Linked DNA regions of Caenorhabditis elegans. The protein of the gene in region 2 purifies or fractionates together with the protein of the main gene of each other region. This does not show direct contact. Each region holds a gene or a part of one and is shown on either strand. Other genes may lie near its edges. The genes, in order: pcaf-1, his-67, hrpr-1 and rpl-10a.

Region 1 (10,670 bases), 6.5 Mb from region 2:
AAAAAAGGCCAAATTTCAAAGCCCTACATGAGTATAAGCCTTCCGTTTCAATTTTTCTTGCATTGTTTTAAAATCGATCGGATGCTTAATATGATCATAATATTCTGGTACTTCTTTCACATCAACTGGACTTGCAAACGGCCATGCATTTTTATCGGCGGTCAGCTTCTTCAGAATTGCTCCAATTTTTGAGTCAAGACTATCGTCTCGTTCGTCCAGATGGTAACACGACTTTTTGTGCATTTTAAGCGAATCCGTGCCCGGCACTTTTCGGAGCTCGAGAAGTTGTGGGGAACCTGCAGAAAATGGAAATTAAATTTATAAATTTATAGGAAAAAACAAAAAAAAAATTTTTAATTTATAATTATTTTCAATTTCGAGGGATTTTTTTAAATTTTTCAACAAAAAAACTCTGAATCAATAAAAAATTTTAAATTTTAAACTAACAAAAAATGTCTGAAATTGGTCTAAAATTTGATAATTTCACTTTTTTTCTGAAAAATTCCTGAAAATTTGGGAAATTATTATTTATTTTTGAAAAATTGGAAAAAAAATTTAAAATTTGAAATTAATTCTTGAAAATTGATTTTTTTTATTATAAAATTTTTGTAAATTTTTTTTTTCAATTTTCATTTAAAAAACCCAATTTTCAAATTCCCGCGCAAATAAAACGGCCAAATTAATTGGATTTTATACTTTCATTAGACATTCGATTTGAAGCATAATTTGCCAAATTTTCAATAATTTTTCCGCAAAAATAGCTAATTTTTGCGGGTAATCAAATAATGAATTAATCTGTTTTTTTTAATTGAAAATTCGAAAAAAATTAACAATTTAGAATAAATTTTTTTTAAAACACACACTTTTTTAGAAGTAAATTTTCAAATATTATTTTTTTTCCAATTTTTCAACAGAAAAAGGGCTAAAAAAAAATTTAGAACAAATCTATAATTTTAAGACGATTTTCCGACTAAAATCGCGCGGTTTTCAGTGTAATTTTCACCAAATAAACCCCATACTTTCTCTGAAAAGATGCTCAAGTCCTCCAAACACTTTTCCACGGCTTTCTGCTCCATTTTCCGACTTGTATCCACAGTGTAGAGCCTGAATTCCTTTCGAGAAATCCGGAAATTTTGTGTACGAGATTCTGGAAATTTTTGGATTAAAATTTAGGAAAAAACCGGTGGAATTCATACTGTGGATGTAGATGACAACCCATTAAAGTTGCACCTTCATATTCTTTAATCCATCCCTGATAGACTGTATCGTTGATTTCCAGCTTTTCAGAGAATCCTTGCTTTCTGGAAAAAAAAAACATTGTAGAGGTTTTGGGGTTTTTTTTTTGAAAATTGGCATTTTTCTAGCCGAAAATTTTGGTTTTTGAAGAAGAAATTAGTTGTAAAAATGTGTAAATTTGTCAAATTTAGTACATTTTTAATTCTGGAACTTGGAAACTTGGGAAAAGTATGAAATTTATCTTTTCAATGTAGAAATGACCTTGATGGGGACTAAAAATTGAAATATTTGGTTCAATTTTAGCAAAAATGGGCAAATTAGGGATTAATTTTCGACGCAAAAATTGTAATTTTACTGTTACATCAACCAAATTCCAAAAAAAAAAATTGAAAATTCGAATTTATATTTTTATTCAGATAAAAAATGTTGTATTAATTTTTAATGAATCATTTTTCTCTGAAAATGATTTTCAAATTCTCAAAAATTCGAAATTATTTCAAAAAAATTGAAAATTCTTAAAAAATTTTTTACAAAAAATTCAAATTTAAGATTTTCGAAAATTTTCATGCAGCAAATTAGTATCAAAAATGCTGTTGATTTTTAGCCCAATATCGCGTAAAATCTTTTGCTTCGGGTTACTGTAGTTCGTGTTTGCGTACTATCCAGACTACATTAACCCCCTTTTTTTTTTCAAATTTTGAGCTAGACGGTACAAAAAAGTCGTCAAAAACGTAATTTAACTGAAAATTTTAGTTTTACGATGTTTTGCTTTTCGAAAAAATTTAATTAAAAAAAAAAAACTTTTTTTTTAAATTTTCGATTTTCCGGGAAAAATTGACATTTTCTATTATACAAAAAAAAATAAAAATCTGGCGCTTCGGGTTACTGTAGCTGGTGCTTGCGTACTATCCAGACTACAGTAACCCTGTTTTTTTTCCAATTTTGAGGTAGAAGCTCCAATAAGTCGTAAAAAAATGCGTTTTTATTCTACGATACTCCGTTTTTTCCGATTTTCCAATATTTCGAAAAAATCAAAATTAAAAAAATATTTTAAATTGTCTAAACATGTTTTTTTCTCGATTTTTTGATTTTCTTTTGTGCAAAAATGAAGAAAATAGATTTTTTCTAGCACAAAATTGAGAAAAATATAGAGTCAATTTTCAAAATTTTTATTTAAAAAAGAATTTTAGTCTTAAAAACTCACGTAAAATAGCCAATTGCAAATTCATCAGCATAGGTTAGCATATGATAAATCTTATTTTTAATCATATAATCTTTACAATGATTCATCAAATGTGTTCCATATCCTTTGACCTGTTCCATTGCAGTAATTGCACAAAATACAATTTCCACAAATCCCCGTGAAGGGAATGTTCGGAAGCAAATTCCACCGATAACTCCCATATCTCGCTTCAAAATCACCATATTTTGATGCCTCGAGTCAAAAATCAACCGTGTCACATATTCTTTGGGCATCTTCGGAAGCTGTGCTCCAAATAGATTTTGAAGCTCAACAAGATGAACAAGTTGCTCGTGATGTTGAAATGGATCAAGATCATTTCCAATTACTCGGAACTCAATGAGCCCACTCTCCTCTTCCTGTAGAGCACTTAGACCTCGTGAAACTTCTGTATTAAGAGCTTCAAATTCGACTTTTGTCTTCGGTTCCATTGCATCCAGGTCGCCTTCGAACTTGATCGCCCGAATCAGAGAACGCAGTAGAGCCATTGATTCTTCAGTTTCTGGGGATTTTTTTGCGGAGCTTGAGGGCTCTTTCTTCCTGCGACGGGGCTCTTCCACAGGTGAAGTGGAGAGCTCACGTGGAGATGAACTTTCAGAATGATCCGTTGGCTTTTTCCGTTTTACATATTTCAAAATGACGTCTTCTGTAGAAATTGAATCTTTTCGTCGATTTGTGGTGGAGGTTGATTGTGGATCTTCAGTCTCTAAATATCGCCTCAAATCCGTTGCAAATGTGATCAAATCTTCGCTATTCTCTTCTAAATCACTTTCCGAAAGGCCGAATGGTGTATAGTTGCCCGTATTCAGCACATTTATTAGATAATTACAGAATGTTGTGGTGAACTTCTCGCCGAATATGTCCACTGTCTGGAAAAAATATACTTTTAAAAAAATTTTAAATAAAGATAAAGGTTTTTTGAAAATTATTTTTTTAATTTTATTTAAAAATATAAAATTTCATTCACTTTAAGATTTTTTTTTGAAATTTTGGAAAAAATATTGCTATTATAAAGACGCAGAAAAATTCGGCGTTTCGAGTTGATGTGCAAACGCGCTCCACGGCAAAATAAAAATGCTCCGCCCCTGAACGTTGGGTCTCGTTAGGTTTTGGCGGGAAAACTGGGAATTCAAAGGTTTTTTAAAATAGTTTTTTGAAATAAAAATCATTTAAAAAAAAACGAAAAACATGAAAAATGCTTGAAAACGTTTTAATTTCCAATGTTCCCGCCAAAACCTAACGAGACCCAACATTTAGAGGCGGAGCATTTGCGGTGGAGCGCGTTTGCATCTCAATTTCAAAAGGCGCATTTTTCTGGGTCTTTTTGGCTTGTTTTCCAACTTTTTTCTGACTGATTTTGGGAAAAAAAATTTAAAAGAATCGAATTTTAGAGAGAAAAAGTGATTTTTTTGGTTTTTTAATAATTTTTTTGCAAAATTTGAAAAATTTTTGCTTCATATTGGAGAAAAACTGTTTTTATCTGTCAGATATATTAAAAAAATTCAAATTTTTAAGAAAAATTTAAAAAATTTGAATTTTTCAACTACAAATAACAGAAAATCGAATTTTCTGGTTTTTTTTATTTTTTATTTATTTTAGTGTCTCATTTTCTTAAAAAATGTCAAGAAAAATCAAATTTTAAGCTAAAAATTTGAATTTTTCGATTTTTATTTAATTTTGGAACACCTTTTTGCTTCATTTTGGGAAAAAAACAGTTTCTAACTGTGAAATATGTAGAAAAACCTTTTTTTTTCCAAAATTCAGTAAAAAAAACTTTTAACTCATTTTTTTAATTTTTTAATAAGATTTTTCATATTTCTACTTTTATTCTTAACAATAATCGAATCTCAAATTGAAAATACCTGAAACTGCTTAAAAGACACGTATTTCGCCGGCATATTCACATAATAATCCATTCTTACATACATCATTCGATATTTTCCCTGTTCGAGAGGCACATTTACTGAAAAATTGCATTTTTAGGCGGTTTTTCTATTGCAAAAAACTGTGTACATTTATCCGCAAGACTCTGAAATCCTTCAAGCTTCCAGTGGTTCATTTCAGTTAGAAAAAGCGTTCCAATTTCGGCTAATCGTTGTTTTTCGCTGAAAATCTCGGGGTTTTTTTTTATTTATATAACTTTTTTTTTATTTAAAAAATTATCCTACGCATTATCAACTGGTCGGGATGCGATAAACTTCTTCACAAGAATATATGGGCTTAGGGATTCCGGTTCAAAATTTGGTTTTCCGATAAAAGGCACATCGACGGGCGTTAGTGTGCGAAGGGATTTCAGGAGAATTTGCATTGTGATGTATAGCGTCTGAAAAATATAATTTGTTTAACTTTTAAAAGTGGACTACGCTCAATGGGGAAATTGTTTTAAAACACGTCTATGGGGCCACATTGACCGAATATTTCATGATAAAAAATTCAAAAAAATTTTCTAGATTTTATATGATTTTTTGAAAATTGGAAAAATCACAGTTTTCACCTAATTATTTTTGAATTTCCGCCAATTGAATTTGTTCGGTGGAGCGTGCTTGCATTATTTTTATTTATTCTCGTTATTCGACTGATTTTCTTCATTTTCTATGTTTTTTCCTCGGAAAATGAAAGAAATAAACAAGTCAAATGCAGAATGTTTGTTAAAAAGTAATTGAAAATGAGTAAAACTGTGAAATATACTAATTTCAGGCTTGTTGCCGTCGGAACTCAGAATATCAGTTTTACGCATTTTCAATTAGTTTTTAACAAAAATGTTGCATTTGTCTTGTTTATTTCTTCCATTTTCCGAGGAAAAAACATAGAAAATGAAGAAAATCAGTCAAATAACGAGAATAAATAAAATTAATAAATAAAAATAATGCAAGCACGCTCCAACGAACAAATTCAATTGGCGGAAATTCAAAAATAATTAGGTGAAAACTGCGATTTTTCCAATTTTCAAAAAATCATATAAAATCTAGAAAAATTTTTTGAATTTTTTTATCATGAAATATTCGGCCAATGTGGCCCCATAGGCGTGTTTTAAAGCAATTTACCCACTGAGCGTAGTCCACCTTTAAATTTAAAATTAAAATTTTTAATTCAAAATAACCTGAAGAGATTCATGAGAAGGATCGATTTCTGAAAGTTCAGAGCAACAGGTTTGAAGGTCGGAAATTTGATCCGTATACGTGTCCAGATCCTCTTGTGACAAATATTTTAGTGGCTCCGCATGAAAAGCTGCAAATTTTTAAGGTTTAAATTGAGTTTTAATGAGATTTTCAGCCAATTTACATATAGAATGACCACACGTTCGGCATTCGATTATCTCCTCGCTTCCCAAAGTTTCCAGATCCCTAGTCATCGGTGCAAAATCATTTTCTCTTTCTGCTCGTGTTGCTCGCCGTTCGACAGTCTGAAAAAGCAGAAAAATTGGTTTTATCGGGGAAAAAATTCAGATTAAACACCAACCTCATCTTCGTGATTCAAAACAGGCCGGAAACCACGGCATTGGCATGTTCCGGCGTTGCAAGACGTGAAATATGTTAATTGTCGTCGTTTTTCATCCAGAGAGTCGCGTTGTTTCATTTTTTTTTATTTCGTTGGTTTTCAGTAGAAATTGAAATTAGAAAAAAATTGGAATAAAAACAGTTTTTTTGAATGCAAAATGTGTGCAAACACCATCACGGTAGAATGCACAGAAACGCATTCGCGCTCTACCGCACAATTTGATGTGGATTTTTGATTTATTTTTTTTTCTTCTTTTTTCAGATTTAAATATTTCTAAGCTGAAAATCTCAAATTTCCTTTGTTTTTTTTTCAATGTTTTATGTTTTCTGTTTGAAAAATTAAAAATCACCCTTATAAAAGTTAATTTAAGGTTCTTTAGCACTATCTTTGCTTTTTTTGGCAGTTTCTTTCAATATTTCGATTTGGCTTTGCTTTTCCTTTTTTCTGAATTCCAGACACTTGCGATAACGTTAGCTTGAAGTCGTTTTAGAAAAATCTTTTTTTTTTAATTTTAAAAAATTGCAACTATTTCCGATTCTTTGTAGAAAACACCTGACGAATTGAGATTGTATCGCCAATTTTTTTTTGTTATTTGCATTCCTCTTCCGATTGCGCTAATCTGACCAGGTTGCTTGCACTTTCTCCGTTAACATCTGTTTTCCAATTTTATTGAATTCTTATAGAATCTGTTTTTCTTCTCTATAAGCAGTCTGTACAGTTTACTTTGGAAAAAAATCGATTTTTGTTTGGATTGTCGTCTAAAACTTGAAATCCTCAATAAAATTTGCGTGAAAATAAGAAATTTTGTTTGAAAATGCCGACTTTGAAGTGCTTTGCACAGTTTTTCAAGCATCATTGAGAAGTTGGAAAAAATTTTTTAATAATAAAAATCGAGGATTTTTCGCCATATTTTTTCTTTCGAAACCCTGCAGGTATGTTGTTCTACCTACAACAAGTCCCCCTTTTTCTTTCCTATCAAAGAAAAAAGCCTAAAAATCAAAATTTTCAAATATAAGTACTGTGAGACCGAGATGTTTGCCTTTTTAGATAAGAATAACGAAACGTCATACATTTAATATTGTGACTCGCAACACAATAACTTTATGGATTTTATGAAAAAAATATATATAGTAAGCCGGAATCCACAGAAAAAATTGCAAAAAAAGTGAAAAGTCCAAAAAAAAGCCTCCAAAATGAGAACGCCCTGAACAATCAGCGCCTTCGAGCTGCTCTGATTGGTCCAAAAGTGGGCGAATTGTAAAATAACTTAGAGTTTGTGGGTATTTTGGTTAAATAGACTAAAACTGGTCCAAAACCACCGAAATCCTTAATGAGACTTCACAAAAAATTTCCAAAAATTTTTTATGGCCGGTCAAAATTTCGAAAAAAAAGAGCCAAATTTTGCTAAAATCTGAAATTTCGCACATTTTTCTTTGTCACAGCCGCTGGATTTTAGTTTTTCTGAAATTATCATCCTTTAATCCTTCTTTTGGTAATTTATCTCGCGGAAATTCGTTGATTGAGACAACTTTTAGGCCGATAGGCATCCAATTTTTATCATTTTTGGATGCCTATAGGTCTAAAAATTGTCTCAATCAACCAATTTCCGCGAGATAATCTACCAAAATAAGGATTAAAGGATGATAATTTCAGAAAAAACTAAAGTCCAGCGGCTGTGACAAAGAAAAGCCAGCGAAATTTCAGATTTTAGCAAAATTTGACTCTTTTTTTTTTCGAAATTTTGACCCGCCATAAAAGTTGTTTGAAAATTTTTTGTGAAGTCTCATTATGAAATTCGGTAATTTTAGACCAGTTTTAGTCTATTTAAACAAAATACTCACAAACTCTACTCCCCCTTTAGAAGTTGGATTTTTCATTCTTTTCGTTTTTCTTTTAAAGTTTTGCTAAATTTGAGACTATTTCAGATTTTTTGAATCTTTTTAAAAATATTCCGGCTACTTCACCTTTGAATAACGAGATAACTAGAAGCCAAAATCACATTATTCTATTATTTCACTCAGAACGTTCACTTCTTTATGCGCACAGAAAATTCACGGCAAAGTATGTCGCCGTCGTCCGTCCGTCCGCTTCGTCACCATCCTTCTCTCTCCTCCGGCGGTCTCCATCATCCGGCTCGTCCCTTCTGTGTCTCTGTGGTCTCTTCACTCTCTCTGTCCCCAACGCCACGTTTCTTCTCTCGCGTCTCTCCACACTTCTCGCCTCTCCTGGTATTTTCAATCGAAACGCTCTTCTCCCGATACTAGCTTTCGCCCGTGCGTCGCTGTCGATTCATTACATTTATTCCAATGATTTGATGTTTTTTGAATCTACAAGAAATTAAATTTTCGAGCTTTTCCGAGTAATCTCTCGAGTTCCAATCAATTATCACCCCTGCTCTTCCTTCTTCCATTTTCCATGATAAAGCTTCACAGCAACGCCCTCTGATAAGCATCTATAAACTGTACAAACCTTTTTTTAAGTACCCAGTTCTCCAGTATTAATATAATTTTGGCTGTTTTTTTTTGTGGAAATGTTGGTGGCAGTTAAAGCTTTGGAGAGCAGCCCCAGAAAAAAGCTGACCAAACAATGGCTCTTTCCCTGCTCACATGGAAAAGCTTGCTCGCTTGTGATGTAATATTTCGTTTTTAGGCGATAACAACTGTTTTATAATTTCCCTTCCGAAATTGTTGTATTAGTTGGAGTTTGCCGACCAGTAATTCTGTAAAATACACCTTTCCTTAGATTTTTTCTTAAAATTTATTGTCTGAAAATTGTTTTTATTTGGCTTGAAACATTAGGAAAAACGTTCGAAAAATGCCTGAAAGTTGGAGACTGCTAGAAACAAATTTCGGCAATTTTCAACTTTCAGACAATTTTTGAAAGTTTTTCCAAATTTTTCGCGTAAAATGAACGCATTTCATCGGATATTTTCCTTTAAGTTTTGTGATACAATGTAGAAAAACATTTTATTTATCTGGAAATAGCCTTTCATAAAAAAATTTCACAATTTCCCAAAAAATTTTCCAAATTTTCCAAATGTTTCGAGCAAAATAAAAGGCTATTTCCAGACAAATAAAATGTTTTTCTACATTTTATCACTAAATTTAAAGGGAAATATCCGATAAAATGCGTTCATTTTACTTGAAACCTTTGGAAAAACTTTCTGAAAGTTGAAAATTGCCTATTTTTCCGGCATTTTTCAACGTTCATGCAATTTTTGAGCTTTTTTTCAATTGTTCCAACTGATATGAAAACTATTTCCAGATGAAGCAAATTTTTATATTTCGATATTAGACTCATACAATTAAAAAAAAAATTTATTTTCTGTAAAACCTCCATAATTTTGAATATTAGTGCTGAAAATTTACTAAATCGGCAATAAATCGGTTAAAAAATATTTCTGAAACACTGAAATTTTTATTTAAATAACGATTAAAGCTCTTCGCGGCTGCCTTTCCGGAGACTAAAAAAATTGAATTTCGATTAAATCCAGTTTAAACTTCTAAAAATCGAATATCAAGCTAGATACTCATAATTTATTCCCAAAAAACACCCATTTACACCTCTTCCTCTTCCACTCCATCCGGTTTTGCGCATCATCTTCATTTGTCTCAAAAGTTTATCACTGCCAACGATCTTTTCATCTGCTGGAGGCTCCACTTTCAGACTGGTTCTTCTAGATTTAATCTACAACACAGCTTATGCTTCTCTCACTAGCCGATTTTGAATGTTTTTGGCAATTGCTAATAGGGAGAAGCAAAATGCATGGAATCTTGATTTGGAAACGAATTTTGAAATTCAACATTTAATTTACCCGAAATTTGCAACTTTTTAACGTGAAACCGAATTTTTTGAGCGAAATTTTTGTCAAATTGAAGAAATTATTGCCATTTCAGAAGTTGAGGAACGACTCGCCCAGTTAGTTGCCGACGTGTTTTTTGGATAGAATTTAATACTGTAATAATCGGATATGTCGGACGGTCAGCTGGTCCAGAGACGCAGAAAGGCTGAAGAGGTAGGATGATTTTACAGAGTTCAATGGAAAAACACGAGAGATAAAAAAAACTGAAAAAGATGAAATTTTCAACTTAAATTACCTCTGTGTAATGTTTAAATTAAACGATTAATCCGTGAATTTTGCAGAAACAGCGTCGCACGGAAAAATAAGCGGAGCTTAATTTCGCAACCCTGCGGCGCGGTTTTTTCAATTTTTCAAACAAAAAAATTCGATTGAAAATATTATCGAATTTAGTTCTCATAAGACTATGAGGATATTTTTGGTTGTAAAAACATTTTTCTTCAGGAAAAGTAAGATAAAACGAACAAAATTAAAAAAAAAACCGTGCCGCAGTGTTGCGAAATTACGCTCCGCCTCTTTTTCTGTGCGACGATGTTTTTGCAAAAAAGAGTTTTCAAGAAAAAACTAATTAAAAATCAATAAAATTTCCAGCCAGTCACTGAAAAGTTGAAATTTTCAACTCAAATTTCCTCTGTGTACTGTTAAAATTAAACGATTAATCGGAAAAAGAGGTGGAGCTTAATTTCGCAACCCTGCGGCGCGGTTTTCCTGTTTTCGTATATTTTTCACGCTTTTTTTTTCAATTTTTTCAAACAAATAAATTCGAATGAAAATATTATAGAATTTTTTCCGAATAAATAGAATAAGCAAAATCGAAAAAAACCGTTCCGCAGCAGG
Region 2 (5,419 bases):
GGTTAATGGACATTTTTCACGCAACATTTTGTTGTTTTCTTCAAGAAAAATAGAAAAAACAAAAAAAAATACGAGCTAGTAAACTGGAATGTCGTATGGACCATTTCAGAAGATCAAAAATCACGTTGCAACTGTGCTTAATCAATTTAACGGTTATGAATAATAATTATTCAAAGTTCTCGTATTTTATGTACAATGATCTCTTTTGTTTTCACAATGTCCTAACTTTTTTGATTGTTGATTTTTATGACTTTATCAATTGAACGGGTTTTAATAATATTATTTGAATTTACTAAAAATTAATCTTTGGCATTTGACAGTTGGATAGCAACGTTCTGATATTTAGCACTTATTTAGCCCAAACATACAGTAAGCGGTCTCGACACCACAATTATTGCTAAGCCGAAAAAAACGAAAAAAAAGTGTGCGCCTTTAAAGAATACTGTAGCTTCCAACCCTTTGTTGTTGTGGAATTTTCATAGAATAGTTTTTATTTTCAAATAGTTTTTTTTTCAAAAATTTTAAGTGTTTTATTTTAGTTTCCTTTTCCTCCCTTTCCACGGCCATGCAACTTAATTTTCAGACCCAATGACCTCTTCGGACAGGACAAATCCCGAAAAAGCAGTTCAAAGCCCCCACAAAAGTTGAAAAAGCTGATGTGAAGGATGAAGGAACCACCTTTAAATTGGCACTAATTTCTGAAAACGTTTCTTCAACTTTTTTACTTGAATCCTAGAACTATCTCCTTATCACATATTTTTTTGTCGGGCATGGAGTTATTATGCTAGTTATTTCCTAGGGATAAGATAATTATATGGAAATTTTACAAAGAATTAAAAAAAAACACCCTAAAAATTCAAGAAAAAATTGTGTCAGAAAATAAGAAAAAAGTGATGGGACGTATGCAATAAACGATGGGAAACTGGTGGCAATGGGAAACGGAATATTTTCACAAAAAAAGACAATCAAACACGGTCTCCTGGAGTGTTCATAATTATTAGAGCGCGGTAATTTTTCTAGGTGCCAGAAGCTTCGAGTTCAATCAAAAAAAACTAAATTTCACGCATATAAATTACCGCATTTTTTATTGGGAGATTTATTTAGTTTTCATAACTTTAAAAAGTAATATCTGATTTGAAATGAACTCTTTTGAAAATTCAAATTGAATTCTATACTGTGCGTCTAGACTTTGTGTTTTATCGTGATTTTTCGTTTTTGTGGAAAATCGAGTTTGGAGAAACATCTGTAAAATTCGTTTAGAAGAGTGAAAAGATAAAAAATTGAAGCATTGAAAATAAACATTTATTGCAATCGGACTGTTTGGATTTATCATTTGTGGCCCTAAAGAGGGCCGTTGGGTTCGGTGGTTGTTGCATGGAAGCGGGAGGACAATTGAAATTATCCTCCGAATCCGTACAGGGTTCTTCCTTGTCTCTTCAGAGCATAGACAACGTCCATGGCTGTGACGGTCTTCCTCTTGGCGTGCTCGCAGTAAGTGACGGCGTCTCGGATAACGTTCTCAAGGAACACCTTGAGAACTCCACGAGTTTCTTCGTAGATCAATCCAGAGATACGTTTGACTCCTCCTCTTCTTGCTAGACGGCGAATGGCTGGCTTCGTGATTCCTTGGATGTTGTCCCGAAGGACTTTACGATGGCGCTTGGCACCTCCTTTTCCAAGGCCTTTTCCTCCCTTTCCACGTCCGGACATTGTTGAGTGATTGGCTGAAGACTCACGAATGATGATGAACTGGGAAAACAGTTCTTCTTATATACTCCCTATGCAGATACAGCGGTGCAAAGGCGGAGTCAGTTTGCGCCATCCTGCAGGGACACATTTCCGTGCCTGCCGCTCTTGCATCTGCAGAGATATCTGCCGTTTTGGCCTCTAGTAGGCGAGACATACAGGAAGGTGAGAGAGACGCAGAAACGAGATAAATGTGTCCCCGCAGGAATTTACCGAATGTTCAAAAAGAGGTGTCCCCGCAGGAAACTCCGCCCCGCCACCGTAAAAATAAATATAAAGCGACTGTCTTGGTTCATTCTTCAGATTAGTTTTACGATCACCAATCGCTCATAATGTCTGGGCGTGGAAAGGGAGGAAAAGCCAAGACCGGAGGAAAGGCCAAGTCACGCTCGTCAAGAGCTGGACTTCAATTCCCAGTCGGCCGTCTTCACCGTATTCTTCGCAAAGGAAACTATGCTCAACGTGTTGGAGCCGGAGCCCCAGTCTACCTGGCCGCTGTTCTCGAATACCTCGCTGCTGAAGTTCTCGAGTTGGCCGGTAATGCTGCCCGTGACAACAAGAAGACCCGTATCGCCCCAAGACATCTTCAACTTGCTGTCCGTAACGACGAAGAGCTCAACAAGCTTTTGGCCGGAGTGACAATCGCACAAGGAGGAGTTCTTCCAAATATCCAAGCCGTTCTTCTCCCAAAGAAGACCGGAGGAGATAAGGAATAAATATCTTCCGAATCCAAAAACCCACCGAACCCAACGGCCCTCTTTAGAGCCACAATTTTCTGAAAATCCTCTTTGTTCAAATCAATAAACTATTTGTGCTATATTTTTCATTTCTTATTCGAAATATAATCTGGAGAATTCACCAGTTAAAACTTCATTGAAATCTTCTCACTTTCAGGAATTTTTTTGGAATAGTTGCCCGTTTTACCTGATACCGTGCATTTTACATTGCCGATGGTCTCTTTGCGTTTTCCAGTTTGAGTTTTTTTAAATTAACAAATTTCAGGTATGGAAGACCAATGGTTGCTGTCGGCAATTTATGATGATGATTTGGTCGAAAAGTTAAAAGTGAGGAGTTCCACTTCATCAAGAAGTACTTCGATCAACGTGCCCAGTTTGGAAAATGAGGTTTTTAAAAAGAAAATTCGGATTTAGCTGATTACATAAAATTGTTTTCAGTTTCTCAGCAGTTCTTCTGGATCCAGAGTTTCCGATGATCTCTACCTGCATCCTATTGAAGAAAACAGGTGAATGCCTGAGAAATTACAATTAAAACATTTAAAAATTTCAGAGAGCCATTCAAATTGATAGGAAAGCCACTTCCCAGCACTACAGGACGATTCTTATCACTTCTCGCCAATCATTTTCAAATCACGTGCAATGGATCGATTATTCATCAATACTATATTCGATTCGATCCAGATATTCCGTCGAAAAAGCTGAACAGAACGATTTTGAGAACTCTGCAAGAACAGAATCCCGGACTTATCGAGTGCCCGTTAGTTTTCGATGGAATTCACACTGTGTACTCAACAGAGCTGATTAATGTCAAGGAAGTGAATAATTCAGTCATCAATGTTGCAGGAGTTGTTAATACAAAAGAATCACCTAATCTATTCAAACTCTATCTAACACATGTCGACAGCTTCCTCTTGGATACTAAAATGTGAGTTTTTACTTGGAAAACCTTCTTCATTGTTTTTAATTCAATCTTTTTCAGTATCACAGGAAATCAGGATCAGAACCAGAAGTTGCGAATGATGCATGCAATTGATACTGTCTTCCGTCAAACTTCTACTGGAAATTTCCATGCCGTGCTTCAATCTTTCTTCTCAATTGCACAAAATTCTGCAATCGAACCCTCGCATGGCCTTGGATGGGGAACTGTCAATTTAGGAGTTGGACGAGAAGTTTGCTACGGTTTTTATCAAAATGTTGTTGAGACATTCGATACACTCACTATGAATCTCGACGTTGCAACAACTACATTCTACCGCCCCGTGGCTCTCGTGGAATTCCTTGCTGAAATTCTGGAAGTTCCACTGGCAACAGTCACCGACGGACGTTCGCTGAGCGATGTTCAAAAGAAAAAGTTCAACCGTGAAGTGGCCGGACTCAAAGTTGAAACCAGACACTGTAGTTGTCCACGAAGATTTCGTGTCGCCCGTTGCACTTGGAAACCAACTGAAAATATTAGTTTCCATCTCTCCGAGACTGCCGGCAATCAAGATTCTAAACCTCTCTCATTGGTTGAATACTATAAAAGGCGTTATAATATCGATCTGACATATAAGCATCTTCCGTGTATTGAAGTTGGACGCACTCGAGAATGTATTCTTCCTTTGGAGCTTTGTTACGTAGTCAGTGGCCAACGATGTATCAAGAAACTGAATGAACAACAGATTGCAAATCTGATCAGAGCAACGAGCCGAAATGCAACTGAACGACAAAATGCAGTCATGAGCCTTCAGAATCGGCTGAAAATGGATAATGATGTCAATGCGGTTAAATTTGGATTAAAAGTTGAAGCTCAATTGTTGAAGATTGAAGGACGTGTCTTGCCGGTTCCGCGTCTTCTCTATCGTTCCCCAAATTTGAAGAGACAAGAGTGTGTAACAGTTCCGAATAATGGAACATGGGATATGAGAGGAAAGAATTTTTACAGCGGAATCCAGATTCGAGTAGGTTTTCTTTGTAGAACACTCATAAATTATTTAAATAACAAACTATCAGCGAATTATGTTTCAGGAATGGGCAATTGTTTGTTTCGCAAGCCCAGAGATTATCGGAGAAGCCAGCATGCGTTCATTTGTCAGAAATCTCGTCAATGTTGCCTCTGAAATTGGAATGCCTTTTCTCGAAGAACACCGATTCTGCAGGTCCGGAGAATGTTTTACTCGATTTTATTGGAATCAGGGATGTGCGGCACATTGTTTTTAAAATTTTTTTAAAAAATAACATGTAAAAATCCCCCTTTTCTCATCGCTGTGTTTTTTTCCCTAAATCTTTATAGAAATATGAGAAATAGAAATAGGATTTTGTTAATGTGCATATATCGGCATAACCGATAGAAACTGCTTAATAAACCTATAATTGTACCTTATTCAGATACGCAGAACCAGACCAGACTGTGAAGCTTCTCGAACATTTGAATGAACAATACAATCTTCAACTCGTTTTATGCATTGTCCCCGGAAAATCTGTAGTTTATGGAGAATTGAAACGAAAAGGAGAGCTACTTGGTTTGACAACTCAATGTGTTCGATCTCAAAATGTTTCGAAAGCGTCACCACACACTCTTTCTAATCTCTGTATGAAAATCAACTCGAAACTCGGAGGCATTAATGTAATCCTATCCTCTCCTCCACAATCTCTAAATTCTGAACCAGTACTTTTTATCGGATGTCATTTAACTCGAAGTTCACTCGCCTCATCTTCTGATTCCACATCTTCTATAGCTCATTGTGATTCCTCCATCGCTTGTCTCGTCGGTTCAATGGATGGACATCCTACTCAGTTTTCTCCAATCTTTCGTACTCAACCACGTCATCAAAGAACTATTGTCGATATGTGTGAAATGACACGTGAAGCTATTATCAATTTCCGAAAGTCTACAGGATTTAAACCCCACAAAATTATCATTTATCGTGCTGGAATCGCAGATGTGACTGTCGATG
Region 3 (9,663 bases), 2.1 Mb from region 2:
CACATTTATGCTCAACACTCATATCACTGCCACGTGTGGGTTTATTTTGGTAAGTGCGCTCTATTGAGAACCTGGTTATTTTGGCGGGTAATTTGTGTTCTTGAATTTCTCGGTTAAAAACCAATCGAAATTTGAAAAATTCAACATTTTGAACTGTTGTACGAGAACTCGTACTCTTCTATCTCTTCTTCCATCTTTTGTTTCTCACATGCACTGCAACTTTTTCCTCACGAGGGACGAGGAAAAGTGGTTTCTAGGCCATGGCCGAGGGGCCGACAAGTTTCAGCGGCCATTTATCTTGTATTGTTTTCCGCCTGTCTTCTTTCGTTTTTCACAGCTTTTTCCCGTTTTTTCTTATTAAAACTGATAAATAAATACTTTTTGCAGATGCTAAAACAATTTCCAAGTAAAAAAAATTATGTATTCAGTGGGCAAGCAGCGGTGAAAGTGGTCAATGCAATATGATGGATTACGGGAATACAAAACCTAAACTTTTTTTGAAATACATATGATGATACATATGATGCTTAGATGCTGAAACTACCTGATTTTCATAACGAGATCGCTGAAAAAGTTTTGTGGTTTTCAAAATTCAACTTTTTGTGCGAAAATCTCGACTTTTTCACCAAAAAAGTTGAATTTTGAAAACCACAAAACTTTTTCAGCGGTCTCGTTATGAAAATCAGGTAGCTTCAGCATTTAAGCAGCATATGTATCATGTTTCAGAAAAAGTTTAGGTTTTGTATTCCTGTAATCCATCATTTTACATTGACCACTTTCACCGCTGCTTGCCCACTGAATACACAATTTTTTTACTTGGAAATTGTTTTAGCATCTGTAAAAAGTATTTATTTATCAGTTTTATTAAGAAAAAACGAAAAAAATCGATGAAAAACGAAAGAAAACAGGCGCAAAACAAAGCAAGATAAATGGCCTCTGAAACTTGTCGGCCCCTCGGCCATGGCCTAGAAACCACTTTTCCTCGTCCCTTGTGAGGAAAAAGTTGCAGTGCATGACTCATATCAGCAATATTTGATATTGCTTATTCACAATACCCTTTGTCTAAATGCTTTTTCCCCTGCCATTCCGACAGTTTCTCCGCCCCCTTTCTTATGTATTTATAGCAGCCCATGTGGACTGCTTTTCATCTTTCTTACAATAAAGGTCGCTGCCTGACCTAAAACCTTTTTTATGGTGTATTGAATCGGGCTCGGTGCTTCTGCAAAACCCAGGCGGGTCAGGCAGTGGGTTTATTCCCTAAAAAGAATAAGCCTGGTTCAACAAAAAGAACGTTGAACCGGTCAGAAAGATCAAGCCAAGATAGTTCGAGATGTGAACTGACACTTCCTCAGTAACCTTTTTTTCTACAAAAAAAAACACTAGAAACTGTGAGAAAATCAAATATTCTTGGCAGAGCACAATTGCACTACCCTGCACTTGCGCACTGATGAGAATTTGGCGAAAAATTCGCATTTTTATATATAAACTTACATTTAAATGTAAATTACTTCAATTTTGTGATAGAATGCATTTAAAATGTGTAGAATTTGAATTTTTCTCTGAAAAAAGTCGGAAAACCCGCATTTTCTCCTCAGAGCACAACCTTGGGTTTTCGAATTGTTTAATTTTTTAAGGTAAAATTCGATTTCCCTATTCTAAATGCAAATAAAAAATAGTTTTTCTTTATTTTTCAGGAAGCTCTTCTGTATGTGCTCGTTTCGGTGGGCCTCCTTGTGTCTGCCATCTTGATGTGGGTGTTTTGTGCGGCTCATTGGGCTGAAATGAATCCCGAATGGGCTACGATGCCAGCACTGGCTACGGTAAGTAACTTATAAAATTCTAAGACTCGGAGCTCTTTTTTAGGCTGCTCTATTCTTGTGTTCGGCTCTTTATTTCATAGAAATCTGTGTCTTGCTCAATGATGCTCGCCGGTGTAGCTGGAGACCACCACAACCGACATCTTCAGTTCTTCCTCAATAAATCATCAAAATAATAAAAATAAATAATTGAACAAATCCATGGTCTTTCTCATCTAAATATACCTCATTTTTATCATAAATAAATAGTTTTTACCTGCAAAATAAGACTGATCTCGGGCGGGCTCGAACCACCGACCTTCTGTGTGTTAGACAGATGTGATAACCACTACACCACGAGACCGCTGGCACTGTCAGCTTTTCAATGTCATTTTATTTTACACGTTTTTTGAAAGACTTTGAAAGAGTCTTACCTTTTTGATTTTCACTGAAGTACTAGAAAGTTCCCACCGAGATTAAAATTTTATGAATTTATTTGCCTCTTTCTCTAACTTATTTCTAGGTCCCTTTAAATTAGTATTCAGTGATGAAGCCCACCGGTGCAGCTGGACACCATTCATGGTTATCCAAAACGTCCTTTTCAATCTCTATGCTCTCTGATCCTCTCGATTTCCCATGATATCTCTCCCTTTCTCCATTCAAAGAGTACATCCTCGTCCCTTCCCGTTCCATTCAACGTCTTCTGCTGCTCTTTTCGTGCAAATGAACACCATCTGTTCACAAGTAAACCGCGACGCGGCCGCTCCGCCCGACGAGAGATGTGCTGCGATGTGTGGTATGGGGTGAGAGACGCAGACGGTGTAAGTTAAAGGGACATTACCCAAAGTGTGAAAGATATCCCGTACCGAAGACGCTCGCCGCTTCGATTTTTGTTTTTGCCGCCGTTCGATTCGAATTTTGAACGTCTTCGTCATCTTTTTTGTGCATTATCCTTCGTTTTTCACGATTTTAAACCTCTTAGAATGTTAAATTACCTTGAAAATCCGGAATTTTCACATAAAATCCTTCAAAAAATTGAGTAAAACTCCGAAATTCGATGTATTTCATGTGCAATGTAATATTTGAACAATTTCCTGATTTTTTACTGGTTTTTCTTAATTTTTCTATCAGTTTCTGCTTTATCTAGACTTTTTCTTAATTTCAGAGTTTATTTCACTCATATTCTCAATCAAAATTCCAGTAAATTTGTGAAAATAGGCTTGAAAATTAAATTGATTTGAATCTTTAAAATCTGCTGGAACATCAAATTTTTCACAGTTTTTTGCTATTTTCAGAGCAATTTATCGTATTTAGATTATCGATTTTTGCAGATCTCCCGCCATGAGTGAGGAAATCAAACAGGAAGTAAAGGAGGAGGCTCCAGAAACAACGACTGAAGCCAAGACCGAAGAGGCTGCTCCTGTCGCAGAAGTAGTTGCAGAAGTTGTTACCAACGGAGATAAGCCGGCTGAAAATGGAAAGACCGAGGAGCCAAGCGTATGTTCTATCTAGAAAGGCGCACTTAATCAGTAATAATCGTTGAATTTCCAGAAATACGCCGAGACCGAGAACTACAAGAAGCTTATCGGGCTTAAAATGAAGCCAGCCCTCGCCGACGTCGTGTGCGAAATCTACGAGTCCGGACTTCTCGGCCCAGAGGATCTCGATGATCGTGCAGTCGACATCATCAACTCGGTGAACCTCGATCAGGCAAAATTCATCTTTACCGAAATCAAGAACTCTGAACTCTTCGGAGTTGCCACCAAATCGCTTTACGTCACCTCACTGATCCGCTCATTCAAAGATCGGTGCCGTCAACAGGGAGCAGCTGCCGTAACATCCGGAAAGCTTATCAATGGACCAGAGTTGGCCGCGTTGAAGAACCTACTGGAAACCACCGGATACACCATTGAAGTCACAATTGGACAGAGAAAGTTCGGAGGACCTCCACCAGATTGGGAAGGACCTGCTACAGGGCCAGCTGGACAGGGACACGAGGTAGAAGCGAGAGGCACCACGAAAATGAGATCTGGAAGCGGCTTTAACGCCAATTTTCCCGAAGAAATACGTTACAACGATGCTCTGCGGCGCGTTGTTTTGCCTTTCTTTATGTGTGCGATAGAGCTTTTCCGTCAATTTTTGCCGTTTCTGTTCAAAGTTTATCGATTTTGCTTGATTATTTCCTTTTTCAGCTATTTTTAAAGGAAAATGACCACGTTTTCGCCCAGAAAACAATGCCAAGTTTCTATAGATTTCAGAGTTCCTTCAGACGCTCTAACGGTAAAAACTGTGAAAACTTGGCCATTTTTCATCAAAAATAGCTCAGCTTTAACCTACAAGTTGAAAAAGTTAGCGGAAAATTACTATCGCTAAACTGAAAAAAAGCAAAAAGACCGAAAAACCGCGCCGCAGACTTGCAACTTGCAACCGACGTTTCGCTTTCTCTAGACCGTGCCCATGAGGCTTCGTGCCTTTTTTCGGATTAAAATTTCGAAAAAAAACGCGCATCCGAGAAAAATGGCTTTAAAAGAAAACTACCGCTGCCAGATCCCAGTTTTGCGAATTCTCTTTTTATGAGACCCTCACCTATTCAACCATTTTCAGATCTACGTCGGACACATTCCAACGGACGTCTTCGAAGACACCCTGGTTCCCCTCTTCGAGAAATCCGGAAAAATCTGGGATCTCCGTCTTATGATGGATCCAATGTCCGGTGCTTCCCGTGGATATGCTTTTGTCACGTATTGTAATAAGGAAGACGCTGCGGCTGCCGCCAAGACTGTAAGTTTAGGCTTTCCCCATGCAATTTCAGAGCAGTAGGGTAGGGTGATGCCTCTAGCCATTGAAAAATTGCTTCCCAATGCGTTGTGTTTATTCATTATTGCATTTTGGACACAATTGGAGAGAATTCCCGCCTTCCGAGCCAAAAAACCATTTAAAAACCAACATCACAACGCATTTCATCCATTTTCTTTACTTTAGTATGACGGCCACGAAATTTCGACTGGAAAACCACTCAAAGTGAACGTTTCGATCGCTAACACTCGCCTTTTTATTGGCAATATTCCGAAGACGAAATCTAAAGACGAAATTCTTGAAGAGCTCAAGACTCATGCAGGTACAGAACCCATTTTCGAAACATTTTCTCGATTTTCAAGCAATAAAGATTCAAAAAAAGTGAAAAAAGCGAAGAAAAAATCGATTTTTTTTCTTCTTTCTGTATCCTATTTATTTTTTCTATTGTGATCGTGTGGTCTTTTTTATTAATCAATATTACTATTATTATTATTATTTTCAATCTAGCCACTTTCAGCAATAATTTAACATTTCAGAGGGCGTAGTTGACGTTATCGTCTACTCGGTGCCGGACAATGAGAAAATAAAGAATCGTGGATTCTGTTTCGTTGATTTCATCGATCACAAGACGGCTTCTGATATCAAGAGAAAGATTGCACAGCATAAGGTGAATTTTTGGATGATTTGGAGGATTTACGCTGCATTTTCGCTGGCTTTTTACCTTTAAAATGGCTAATTTTATAGCATTTTAAGTGAAAAATTGATTTTTCTCGATATTCACGTAAAACAATTGGAATTAGCGACTTAAAAAGTGAAAATACTTGATTTCTGGGACATTTTCCCCCTTTAAGCGGCTAATTCAAAGTGCTTTATGTGAAAATCGAGAAAAATCAATTTTTCACCTAAAATGCTATAAAATTAGCCATTTTAAAGGTAAAAAGGCAGCGAAAATGGCACAAAAGAAGCATTATAGCCAAAAAGAGCATACGAGTCAAGAGAAATCGATTTTCGTCTAGAATACAGTATTTTAAGTGAAAATCTATGTACTTCTTGATTTTTGAGGCATTGTAACTTATAAAACTATACATTTTTATATTTAAAAGGTAAAAAAAAACGTTCCAAAACAGACAATTTTCTCCTCGAGAACTACACGAGCTGCGTAAATCTACACGATTTTTCTCTGAAAATAGCAAAAATAAAAATATTCTTTCCAGATACGTCCATTCAACGCTGATGTCTACGTGGATTGGGCTGAGCATCAAGAAGAGCCAGACGAGGATACCATGTCGAAGGTGAAGGTGCTGTACATCCGAAACATCAAGGAAGCAGTGACCGAGGAGAAGCTGAACGAGCTCTTCAAGGAATACGCAAGTCTGGATAGAGTTAAGAAGGTGAAGGACTACGCGTTCATCCACTTCAACGAGCGTGACGATTGCCTGAAAGCAATGGAAGAATGGAATGGAAAAGAGCTCGAGGGAACTGTTGTTGAAGCTTCACTCGCCAAGCCACCACAGGAGAAGAAGAAGAAGCCAGTGATGCGTGGGCGTGGATTCGGTGGAGCTGGTGGTGGTGCTGGAAATCATGGACAACGTGGTGGACAACGTGGAGGTGGTCAGTGGGGTGGAAATGCTGGACCAGGAGGTTATTATCCAAATCAGTGAGTTAATTCAGTGAAAAACTATGAAAAATCAACACATTTTCAGCTTCAACAATGGCTACGACATGCCAATGCCTTGGGGAGGTGGCTACGGTGGTGACATGGGATATGGTGCATATGGAGGAGGTTACGGTGGTGGATACGGTGGCCCGGGAGCCTATGGAGATTTTGGAGCCTACGGAGGCGGTGGATTTAGAGGAGGAATGCGTGGATCGCCGAGAGGAGGAATGGGCGGTGGAGGAGGATTCCGTGGTGGACCACCTGGACGCGGTGGAATGTAAGTTTTGAAGTGTGGTGGAGTGCTGCTGCGCCAGTGGACGGAATTTGTCTAAAAAATTACAAAAAAATTAATTTTGAACTGCCCTTGTTCGATAGAGCGCGCTTGCATTTTTTGTAATTTTTAAAAAATTCGTTTCTCACATTTTCCAATGATTTTTCTGTAAATTTTCACTGGAAATTTGAAGAAAATTTCAAGAAAAATGCAAATTTTTCACTAGAGAGCATCTGTATGGGTACGTAACCATAAAGTTGCCTTATTGTGAAAAATTTGCATTAATCTTGCAAACGTTTCTTCAAATTTCCAATAAAAATACACTGAAAATATAAAAAATCAGTAGAAAATGAGAAAAATAAACTAAAAATGCATTAAAATAAATAAAAAATACAAGCGCGCTCTATTGAACAAGGGTAGTTCAAAATTAATTTTTTGTGTTTTTCAAATCAATTTCCCCCCCCCCCCCCCCCCCCCCCACTGGCGCAGAATTCTCCATATATCTTTATAAAATTGTGCAAGAATAATCCTAATAAATGTCTGAGGTTACAGGGCAAACAGACGCGGTCGAGGAAAGCGCCCGGGAGACGGACGAGGGGGACCAGCATCGAAACGAGACAACGGAAAGCCTGATTTCTCGGCTGACGTCAACATGAGCACTTTCTAAATTGCACCCCCGGCAGAAACTCACTTTTTCTTTGTTTTTTAAATTATTTTTCACTCCCCCCATTTTTTAAAAAATTTTAAACTTTTTCAACCAAAAATTTTGCATTTTGCATTATTTTTCTAAATTTTTTTGTTTCGTTTTTCGAATGGTTTTGATCTCAAAAATCGTTCGACTTTAGAAAGTGGTGCGAAAAATCGAAATTCTATAATTTATATACATATTACCCTCATTTCTTTTTCGAATTTTTTAAAAAATTTTTCCACTCCCTCTCTCTCCTCAACCCAACCCGTTAATCTCTCACGACCTCAAAAAGTGACAAAAACCATTCTGAAAAGTTGTATTTTCTCATTAATTGTAATAGAGATTTTGATATTGAGCTTTGCAAAAAATGGTTTTTAACGTATCTCTCTCTCTCTCTGTTTCTCTATTCCCTTCACCCTCTCCCTCTCTCTCCATTTGAAACCGTTTTATTCCGTTTTTTTTTTCTGTGTCTCGAAATTTTCACCTTTTGCTGTGAAAATTGGACGCACACACAATTTTAAAATAAAATAAAAAAAAATTTCGTTCAAAATTTTTACTCTTTCTTTCGGAAGTTTGCCCAAATTTGATTTCTCTGTTTCAGATCTTTTTTTTCGCAGTTTTCTACAAAAAGCTCGGAGAATTTTGCAATGCGGCAGGGAAAAAAGGGCGGAGCGTCGTTTGCAAGCCTGCGGCGTGGTTTTTTTTGGGATTTTCAGGATTTGGAAAATATAAAATATTTTTGGATTTTTACAAAAAATTAATACTTTTATCCAGTTTTTGTCAGAAAAAAAAAATTAATGTAAAATTTTCGAGCCTCAACCAAAAAATAAATGCCTTTTTCACTCAAAATCTTCAATTTTTTTACAAAAAAATGCAGAAAAAAGTGAATTTTTTCTAAAATAATCGCTGAAAAATCAAAAAAAAACCGCGCCGCAAGTTTGCAAACGTCGCCACGCCCCCGCAACACCTAAATTTCACGATTTTCAAATTTAATTTTTAAATATATCTTTTTTTGCAGGGAGAACCTTCGTCAGATGAGCGATGAAAAGAAGAAAAAGCGGTAGGCCGAGCAGGCACACATTTTCAGGCAATTTAACACCGATTTTCAGCGGATTTTTCAGATACAGCGTGCTGACGACGTCATCGTTCTCATCGTGGCGGAGATCTTCAACGAGTGGAAGGTTAGGCAGAGTTTTTTTTTTGGCTGAAAATTCGAGAGTTTTCGATGTGAAAATGGCCTTTTCCCCAAAAAAATTGTCAATTTTCGCGTTTTCGCCGCGTTTTTTGGCACATTTCCCGTGGAAAATGTGCTTTTTTCGCGAAAAAAAATTCGAAAATTCCGCGATTTTTGAATAAAACAATTGCGAAAATGAAGAAAACTCAATTTTTAACCTGAAAAGCTTGCAAAACTTGGTTTTTGCTCTAAAAATCGCAAATTTCATCCGAAAAACCCCCCAAAAAAAGCAATTATCGCCTTTTCCTCGTATAGCTGTCGTCGTTCCACTTCATCAGTTCTTCTCTCCAATTTTTCCCCGGCTTTTCCGCATTTTTTTCCCAACGAGTTTTACGTTTTTTACTGCTGCTCAGCGGCCGATTTAATTTTAATTTATTACGATTTTCAGTCGTGAAAATAATATGCACAACAGGCAAAAAGATTTATGGATTTTCGAGCGAGTTTTCCTCGAGGAGTACACAAAAGCTGCGTAAATCTACACAGAGGTTTTCCGGCCGTCGAGTTGGCTTTTTCTCATATTTTGGAGAATTTCGTTGTTCCGTAGTTTTCAGCCAGCCGGGGTTCTGGCCTTCCTCATTGAATTTTTCGCGCTCCATTGACAATCCTGTCTGCCGGACAACGCGTGGGAAAGTGTCGTGTACTCCTCACTGACAAATACATTTAGTTTTACAACTAGAATCGAGCCGCAACGCGCCGTAAATCTACCGAGCCAACATGGCCTAGTTCGGCCAAAACTCTTCCATTTCAATTTATGAGGGAAGCATAGAAATCTGTGAGATCGGTTTAATTTTCTAATTTTCAAGAATAAAGAATCTCACGAGATTTGTCTTTTCTGGAAAATGCAATCACAGTTCTGCTTTCCCGCTAGTTTTCTGGAAAATGTCCATTTTCAAGCTTCTCGAGGTTAATTTACGACTTTGTGCTGGCTCACATGAGCTCCTAGAGCCATTTTGGAATATTCAATGGCTCCGTTCGCCTTGGAAGACGAAAAAGAAAAAGGAAAAAATAGAGTGTTCGATTAAATTTTGCCTCCTTCGCCGTTCACATCTACACTCGGGGTCTCAATTTTTCCTCGCTCATTTCATCAAATGGTTGAAGGCTCCCGGAGCCCACCCATTTTGAGCCTAGCTAGCTGAGCACGCCTTTTTTGCTGAAAACGACGAGAGCAGCAGACACACGCACACATTTTTGTGCTCTAAGGCTCAGTCAGCTACACAGCAC
Region 4 (6,149 bases), 7.1 Mb from region 2:
TTCACAAAATCAAAGAAAATTAGTGTTTCTCTTATTATCCAGACGCGAAATTTCGCACCAAAAATACGGTAGCCGGTCTCGACACGAAAATTTTTGTCGAACACAAAAGGGTTTGCGCCTTTAAAGAGTACTGTATTTTCAAACTACTCTTTTCTGAGGAGTTTTCATAGCTTTTCGATTAAAAAAACACACGACTTTGAGAAAAACTGAAAAATTGGTGGAAAATTCCACAGCTACAATAGTTCGAAATTACAGTATTCTTTAAAGGCGCACAACCGTAAAAATTGATTGAAAAAAAAATTGTCGTGTCGAGACCGGGCACCGTATACGACCGTACTTCACATTTAAAGGTACATGCATCTTATCTTTGCTGTACCTTATTGAAATCATTATTTTCAACAGTCTGTCGGATCAAATCGTTAATTGCTTGAGCTGCTTGGCCGGCTATTTTTCGCATTTCCGTCTTCCAATTGTGTGATCTGAAAATATTTCCTCAATTTATTTATTTCCTGCTGCAGAAAAAATGAGAGAAAAAAAAGTTTTTTTTTAATTTAAAAAAAAATCGATGTTTGTTGGTTTTTCGGAGCAAAAACTAGTTTTTTTGGCAAAAAATTCGATTTTTTGTGACATCTGTGGAGTATTCACCTCTGTGGAGGCTCTTCTTGTGGAGGCTCTGGCTCCACAATTGTCGAAGCACAAGAACTTTCGAACACATCACGGGATAACTCATCATTTCTTTCGATCCGTTGAGTTCTTGCTCCAGGACTTTTTGTTTTGCCCAATTGTGCTGCGCTGGTCGTCGGAGCCGTCGGAGCCGCTTGAAGCTCCAAGCTTGCGACCTTTTGCACCTCAATTTCAGAATTTTTCTCCACCGGGCGGCTTGCAACTACTTGCACGATTTTCACGGTTTTTACTGCCAAATTTCGAATGCTAAAAACATTTTTTTTAATTATTTCATGTTTTCTGAAATTAATAATTACTATTTTCGAGTCTCAGCACCGAGTCTTGACCCAAAACGTCTCTCAAGTGAAATTAAATCCGAAGATTTCAAATGTCGAGAGTAATAATCGATATTCGGGACAATTTGACGTCGCATTCTGTAATTAATTCCATATTTTTAATCGATTTTTTCTAAAAATTCGCACCGTCCACACAGTGATTGCACTGAATACGGACAATTGTAGGCTTCAACGTACAGTTGCCACGTGATTATTCCAAACGGTCCAAGGCTCTTGTCATTTCTGAAAGAGGTGATTCTTGAAATATCATTTAAGCATTCTATATTGCCTGGCAACCCATTTGAGCATTCTCACATCTTCGTAATCGTTATAATGATGTCGTTGGTTTCCCATCTGAAAAATTAAGAGCCTCCTATCTGGGGTGCTAACAAAAAAAAATAAATTTTTAAAAGAAACTATTTAATTTATGAAGAAAAAAAACACCTTTACACTCCCATAGTGGTTTTATTACTAAAGAAGAAGAAAAGAGAAAAGACGTAGAAAGGAAATAAAAACAAAAAGTTCTGATGTCTCCCGCATAAAACAAATAAGGCCTCTTGTGTGATATATATATATGTGTGTGTATGTATAAATTTAAGGGGGGTGCAGGATAAAAAAATGAAAAATGTTGGGGATGAAGGGAAGAACAGGAAAATTAAGCGAAACCAAGGGGGGAAAGGAAAGAAACGGAATAAGTTATAATGGATTATAATTACAAGCATAATGAATAGGGTCATTCACTTTCAATACTATAATTATCAAATCAAATCACAGTAAAAATAAAGATGCACTTTGCCGGAGTACCATCTTCGAACCAAGGAACCACAGTGAGCTGCTCGATCAAGAAATGGTATGAGGTGGAAGGGGGGATTTTTGAAGGAATGAAGAAGGGGTTTACAAAATGGACAGCTTTGGCTGATCCTTCTGGGCTCCCTTGTTGCCTTTCTTGCCCTCGCCTGACTTATTGTTGTTGTTGTTATTTTTCGGTCTGCGTGCAACGTTTTCCGAAGAGGTGATCAGGGAAGCGTCGACGCCACGAGATGCCATTGTGAGCATGAGTGTCTTCTGAAGATCAGCCAACTGATCGGCGCTGAGTCCCGATGAAGTGAGTTGGAAGCCAGCCGTGTTGGTGACTGTCTTTGATGCGGCTTTCTTATCTTCTGAAAATAAAAGAATTTTTAATTAAAATTCTATTCTAGAGACATTTTACGCATACCTTTGTGTGTTGGGCTGAGGTTAACACCTGAATCTGCTCCGACGGATGAAGTGATGCTTGACTGACTAGTAGCGTGCTTGATTGGCCCAGCGGCTGGAGGTGGAGAAACCGCCTGCTTCGTTGGAGCTGCTGCTGGCTTTCCGTTGGCAACCGGCTTTGAAGATCCTCCAAGAGCAGCAATTGCTTTGAGAATTGTAGAGGTATCAAATTGTGAAGCGTTTGACTGCTTCAACTCCTTCTCGCGGTCGTTCAATGCGAGTCGGATAGCCTTGAAAGCTGTCGACAACGGATCAGCTGGAGCTGGTGCACTGACTGAAAGGAATTATTATTACAGACGAAAAGAAAGAAGAAAAAGATACGTACCAACTGGTTTAGGTGCAGCAGCTGATTTAGTTACCGAAGAAGAGGCTGGGGCGGCTACAGTTGGAGCTGGAGCCGCTTTAGCAGGCGCTGGAGCACTTTGCGTCGTTTCCGGGGCAGCTGTTTCAGTCTTCTTGCTCTTGTTCTTCTTCTTTTTAGCTGCGGTTACACTGACTCCATCTGATGTGGTCCATCCTCCAAGAATGCTAGAGGCTCCATCTGAAAATTAAAAATAAATTCTAAAAAAAAATCAAATTAAAATGATTTACCTTCCAAGAAAGCAGAAATTGTCTTGCCAACGTCAAGATCGAATGAGTGAAGAACCATAATGATGTCATTATTGGTTACACTATCAACGACTTCACGAACTTTGGCGATTTTCTCCTGCATGATTTTCTTCTCGCTTTCCTTTGGTGCCATTTTTCTGGAAATTTGAAGTAAAGAAACGAGAAAGGACACATCGAAATGTCAAGAAAGATACATAAGAAACAGATTATGAGAAGGTTCGGTAAAACTTTGGGTAAGCGACGTAAAACACCAATCTCCTCGGCTGGTTGGCACGCGTTGCGGTCGCGTAGCGGCCAGGGTGGCACTGAGACGCGCGTTTCGGAGAGCGATAACCTACATAATGGGGAGCGTACTGGGAACAGGGCAAATGGATATTTTATCAATTTATACGAGTACTGATTGACAGGATCATGAGAATGATAACAAGTGGAAAAAGAAATGAGAATCTCGAAGGAAAAGGCCTAAAAGGGAAGGAAGACGTGCCACGAGGAAGACGCATGTAGTTTTGCAGTGGTGTGTACCCGCCGCGAAAGCAAGTACGGTAACACTCGTTGCTGCGTGTGCACTGCTTGGCCTAAAATTTTATCTCCACAGTTCTTTTCTCTTCGTTCTGTGGTTTTTCTGTAGATTTTTGGATATATTTTCTCCTTTTGAGTGATTTTTACTTTCTTTCAAGGTTTTAAAAGCCTATTTTTTCGTTATTGAACGTTATCCACTTGCTGCCCTCTATATAGAATTCTTAATTTATTTCTATTTCAGGGTAAAATGTCGAAGGTTTCCCGCGAGTCTCTTAATGAGGCTATCGCTGAGGTCCTTAAGGGATCCTCGGAAAAGCCACGCAAGTTCCGTGAGACTATCGAGCTCCAGATCGGTCTCAAGAACTACGACCCACAGAAGGACAAGCGTTTCAGCGGATCCATCAGGTAGCTACGACCTGTGAAAACAGGGAGTTGGGACTTTCAAAGCCTAACGGACCCCCACCCAGGGTCTTAAATTTTTGGGGAGGCAATTATTGCCGCTTTGAAATAATGATATGAGCTGGTATAATGTAACCAATCGTGTCATTTGGATTTATTTCTATTGTTCTATTTTCCAGACTGAAGCACATTCCACGCCCAAACATGAAGGTGTGCGTCTTCGGAGACCAGCACCATCTTGACGAGGCTGCCGCCGGAGACATTCCATCGATGAGCGCCGATGACTTGAAGAAGCTTAACAAGCAGAAGAAGCTCATCAAGAAGCTCGCCAAGAGCTACGATGCTTTCATCGCTTCCGAATCCTTGATCAAGCAGATCCCACGTATCCTCGGTCCAGGACTCAACAAGGCCGGAAAATTCCCTTCCGTCGTTACCCACGGAGAATCTCTCCAAAGCAAGAGTGACGAGATCCGCGCCACCGTCAAGTTCCAGATGAAGAAGGTAAACATTATCATTCTTATTGCCCTGTTAATAATTGTATCATTTCAGGTTCTCTGCCTCTCCGTCGCCGTCGGTCACGTTGGACTCACCCAGGAGGAGCTTGTCTCCAACATCTCCCTCTCCATCAACTTCCTCGTCTCGCTCTTGAAGAAGAACTGGCAGAACGTGAGATCGTTGAACATCAAGTCCACCATGGGAAAGCCACAAAGAGTTTATTAATTACTTTGTTATTCAATAAACATTGTTGATTTGATTCTATCTAGTCGTGCATTATTCAAAAGTTACATTGTCTAACAATCGTCTATCGGAAGTTGCTTCAATCTTTCGTTAGAACAAGAACTGGTCTTTCGTCACTTTCAGATGTCGGAGAAAAATGAACACTTCATGGTGAAGTGCAAGGGTCCCCCGAAACAGTTCTTGGCGATCGTTGGTGATACTGATGGAATGGTAAAAAGGAGAATACGAGTTTATTAATAACTCATGAATATCAATTACAGATCAGAAAAAGTTTAGAAGAACGTTCAAAAGCTGTCAAAGAAGAAGCTGATTGTTATTTCATTGAAACATAGTAAGAGATTCGGGGTCAAATAGGATTTAATTATGGATTTTCAGTTATTATTCTGCAAAATATGGCATTAAAACATATGAAACTCTTTCTGAATTGTCAGCAGATTACGAGGCCAACAATGCTCCAATAATGTGCATTTTCTTCGCATTAAAGTCGATGGATCAGCTGGAAGAAGCTAAAACTGTCTCTAATCAAGTTAAAGCCGATACAAAGGTTTTAGTTTTGAAAAAATCAAAAATTAACCGAAAACAGCTTTAAAAATTGCCAATTTTTCTTTTTTTCAAACGAAAATTTGATGAAAAAATTAAATTGCCGGCTTTTCGATTTTCAAAAAAAAAATCGAAAATTCTCTAATTCGAAAAAAAACTCAAAAAATCGATTTTCCAAAAAACAACTTAAAGTATTGGCCATTTTTCTCATTTTTTAGAAGAAACTTTGGTTTTTTCTCATGAAAATAATTTAAAATTGATGAAAAATAGGAAATTTTGAATTTTCTCTTAAAAAAATCTATTAAAATTTGTAAAAAAAAGAGAATATCCATTTTAAAATCAAAATTTTTTAGGTAATCATCGTGGAATCACTGGAACTATGTCCGGATTTTGATGGACTTGAAAAATTTGTTGCCGAAAATGAGTTCGAAGTTGTTTTCCTGAAACCGAATGAGGTAATTTTTTGGAGAAAGTTGGAGAAAAATGCCCCAAATTCCGAAATACCACCGAAAAAAAACCCATGATTTTGGCGATTTTTCAACTAAAATTTGAATTACACCCGCTTAATTTCGACGCAAATTCTTTTTTTTTTGTGTTTTTTCTCTAATTTTTAATAAAGAAAAAGGCACTAAATGTTCAAAAGTTTGAAATAAAATCCGTCATACTCGGTACGATTTTTGAACATTTATGACCTATTTCTTTATTAAAAATTAGAAAAACAACACAAAAAATGAGAATTTCCGTCAAAAAAAAAACCGAAGTGTGCTGTACGATTCTATGGGCGGAGTTTTTTTGGTGAAAAAATCGCGGAAATTAGTTGAAAAATCGGTATTTTTTCAAACTTAATAACATTTTTTAGTTTTGACTTTTTGGTGTCCTGGCATTTGGGACCAGCTTCAGTATTTTGAAAATAAAAACTTTAAAACACGTCTATGGGGCCACAATGACCAAATACCATGATTAAAAAATTCAAAAAAATTTTCTAAATTTTATATGATTTTTTGAAAATTGAAAAAATCTCAGTTTTTCCTAATTCCTATTTGATTTACCGCCAATTGGATTTGTTCGATGGAGCGCGCTTGCACGTTTTTA

Evidence for each region.
Region 1: the proteins of his-67 (region 2) and pcaf-1 fractionate together in Caenorhabditis elegans (co-fractionation; one large-scale study listed by BioGRID). This does not show direct contact.
Region 3: the proteins of his-67 (region 2) and hrpr-1 fractionate together in Caenorhabditis elegans (co-fractionation; one large-scale study listed by BioGRID). This does not show direct contact.
Region 4: the proteins of his-67 (region 2) and rpl-10a fractionate together in Caenorhabditis elegans (co-fractionation; one large-scale study listed by BioGRID). This does not show direct contact.

Annotation. Positions count from the first base shown.
Region 1 is NC_003279.8:3,511,934-3,522,603, reverse strand, and holds the start of pcaf-1 (histone acetyltransferase), read right to left. Parts: upstream 6,155-10,670; 5' UTR 6,053-6,154; coding exon 5,936-6,052; intron 5,880-5,935; coding exon 5,759-5,879; intron 5,705-5,758; coding exon 5,577-5,704; intron 4,800-5,576; coding exon 4,645-4,799; intron 4,582-4,644; coding exon 4,490-4,581; intron 4,440-4,489; coding exon 4,339-4,439; intron 3,346-4,338; coding exon 2,441-3,345; intron 1,302-2,440; coding exon 1,197-1,301; intron 1,148-1,196; coding exon 1,020-1,147; intron 297-1,019; coding exon 28-296; intron 1-27. Other genes in the region: Y47G6A.18 (Golgi phosphoprotein 3 homolog sauron), read left to right, coding at 9,945-9,989.
Region 2 is NC_003279.8:9,987,054-9,992,472, forward strand, and holds his-67 (Histone H4), read right to left. Parts: upstream 1,711-5,419; coding exon 1,399-1,710; downstream 1-1,398. Other genes in the region: his-68 (Histone H2A), read left to right, coding at 2,079-2,462; alg-5 (Protein argonaute-2), read left to right, coding at 2,751-2,870, 2,922-2,989, 3,034-3,408, 3,463-4,423, 4,491-4,621, 4,851-5,419. UniProt on the Caenorhabditis elegans protein: Core component of nucleosome. Nucleosomes wrap and compact DNA into chromatin, limiting DNA accessibility to the cellular machineries which require DNA as a template.
Region 3 is NC_003279.8:12,058,362-12,068,024, reverse strand, and holds hrpr-1 (RRM domain-containing protein), read left to right. Parts: upstream 1-3,127; 5' UTR 3,128-3,137; coding exon 3,138-3,293; intron 3,294-3,347; coding exon 3,348-3,794; intron 3,795-4,400; coding exon 4,401-4,577; intron 4,578-4,778; coding exon 4,779-4,914; intron 4,915-5,128; coding exon 5,129-5,259; intron 5,260-5,806; coding exon 5,807-6,249; intron 6,250-6,295; coding exon 6,296-6,526; intron 6,527-6,921; exon of another isoform or gene 6,922-7,015; intron 7,016-7,072; coding exon 7,073-7,187; 3' UTR 7,188-7,754; downstream 7,755-9,663. Other genes in the region: F58D5.2 (MARVEL domain-containing protein), read left to right, coding at 1-49, 1,695-1,820, 1,864-1,980; ksr-2 (Kinase suppressor of Ras B), read left to right, coding at 8,243-8,268, 8,318-8,389.
Region 4 is NC_003279.8:2,873,781-2,879,929, reverse strand, and holds rpl-10a (Large ribosomal subunit protein uL1), read left to right. Parts: upstream 1-3,621; 5' UTR 3,622-3,627; coding exon 3,628-3,785; intron 3,786-3,890; exon of another isoform or gene 3,891-3,910; intron 3,911-3,958; coding exon 3,959-4,280; intron 4,281-4,328; coding exon 4,329-4,499; 3' UTR 4,500-4,532; downstream 4,533-6,149. Other genes in the region: Y71F9AL.8 (Myb_DNA-bind_3 domain-containing protein), read right to left, coding at 377-479, 646-930, 981-1,097, 1,146-1,241, 1,288-1,352; Y71F9AL.9 (CUE domain-containing protein), read right to left, coding at 1,893-2,158, 2,215-2,526, 2,578-2,793, 2,844-2,994; Y71F9AL.12 (UAE_UbL domain-containing protein), read left to right, coding at 4,641-4,727, 4,778-4,848, 4,893-5,061, 5,411-5,512.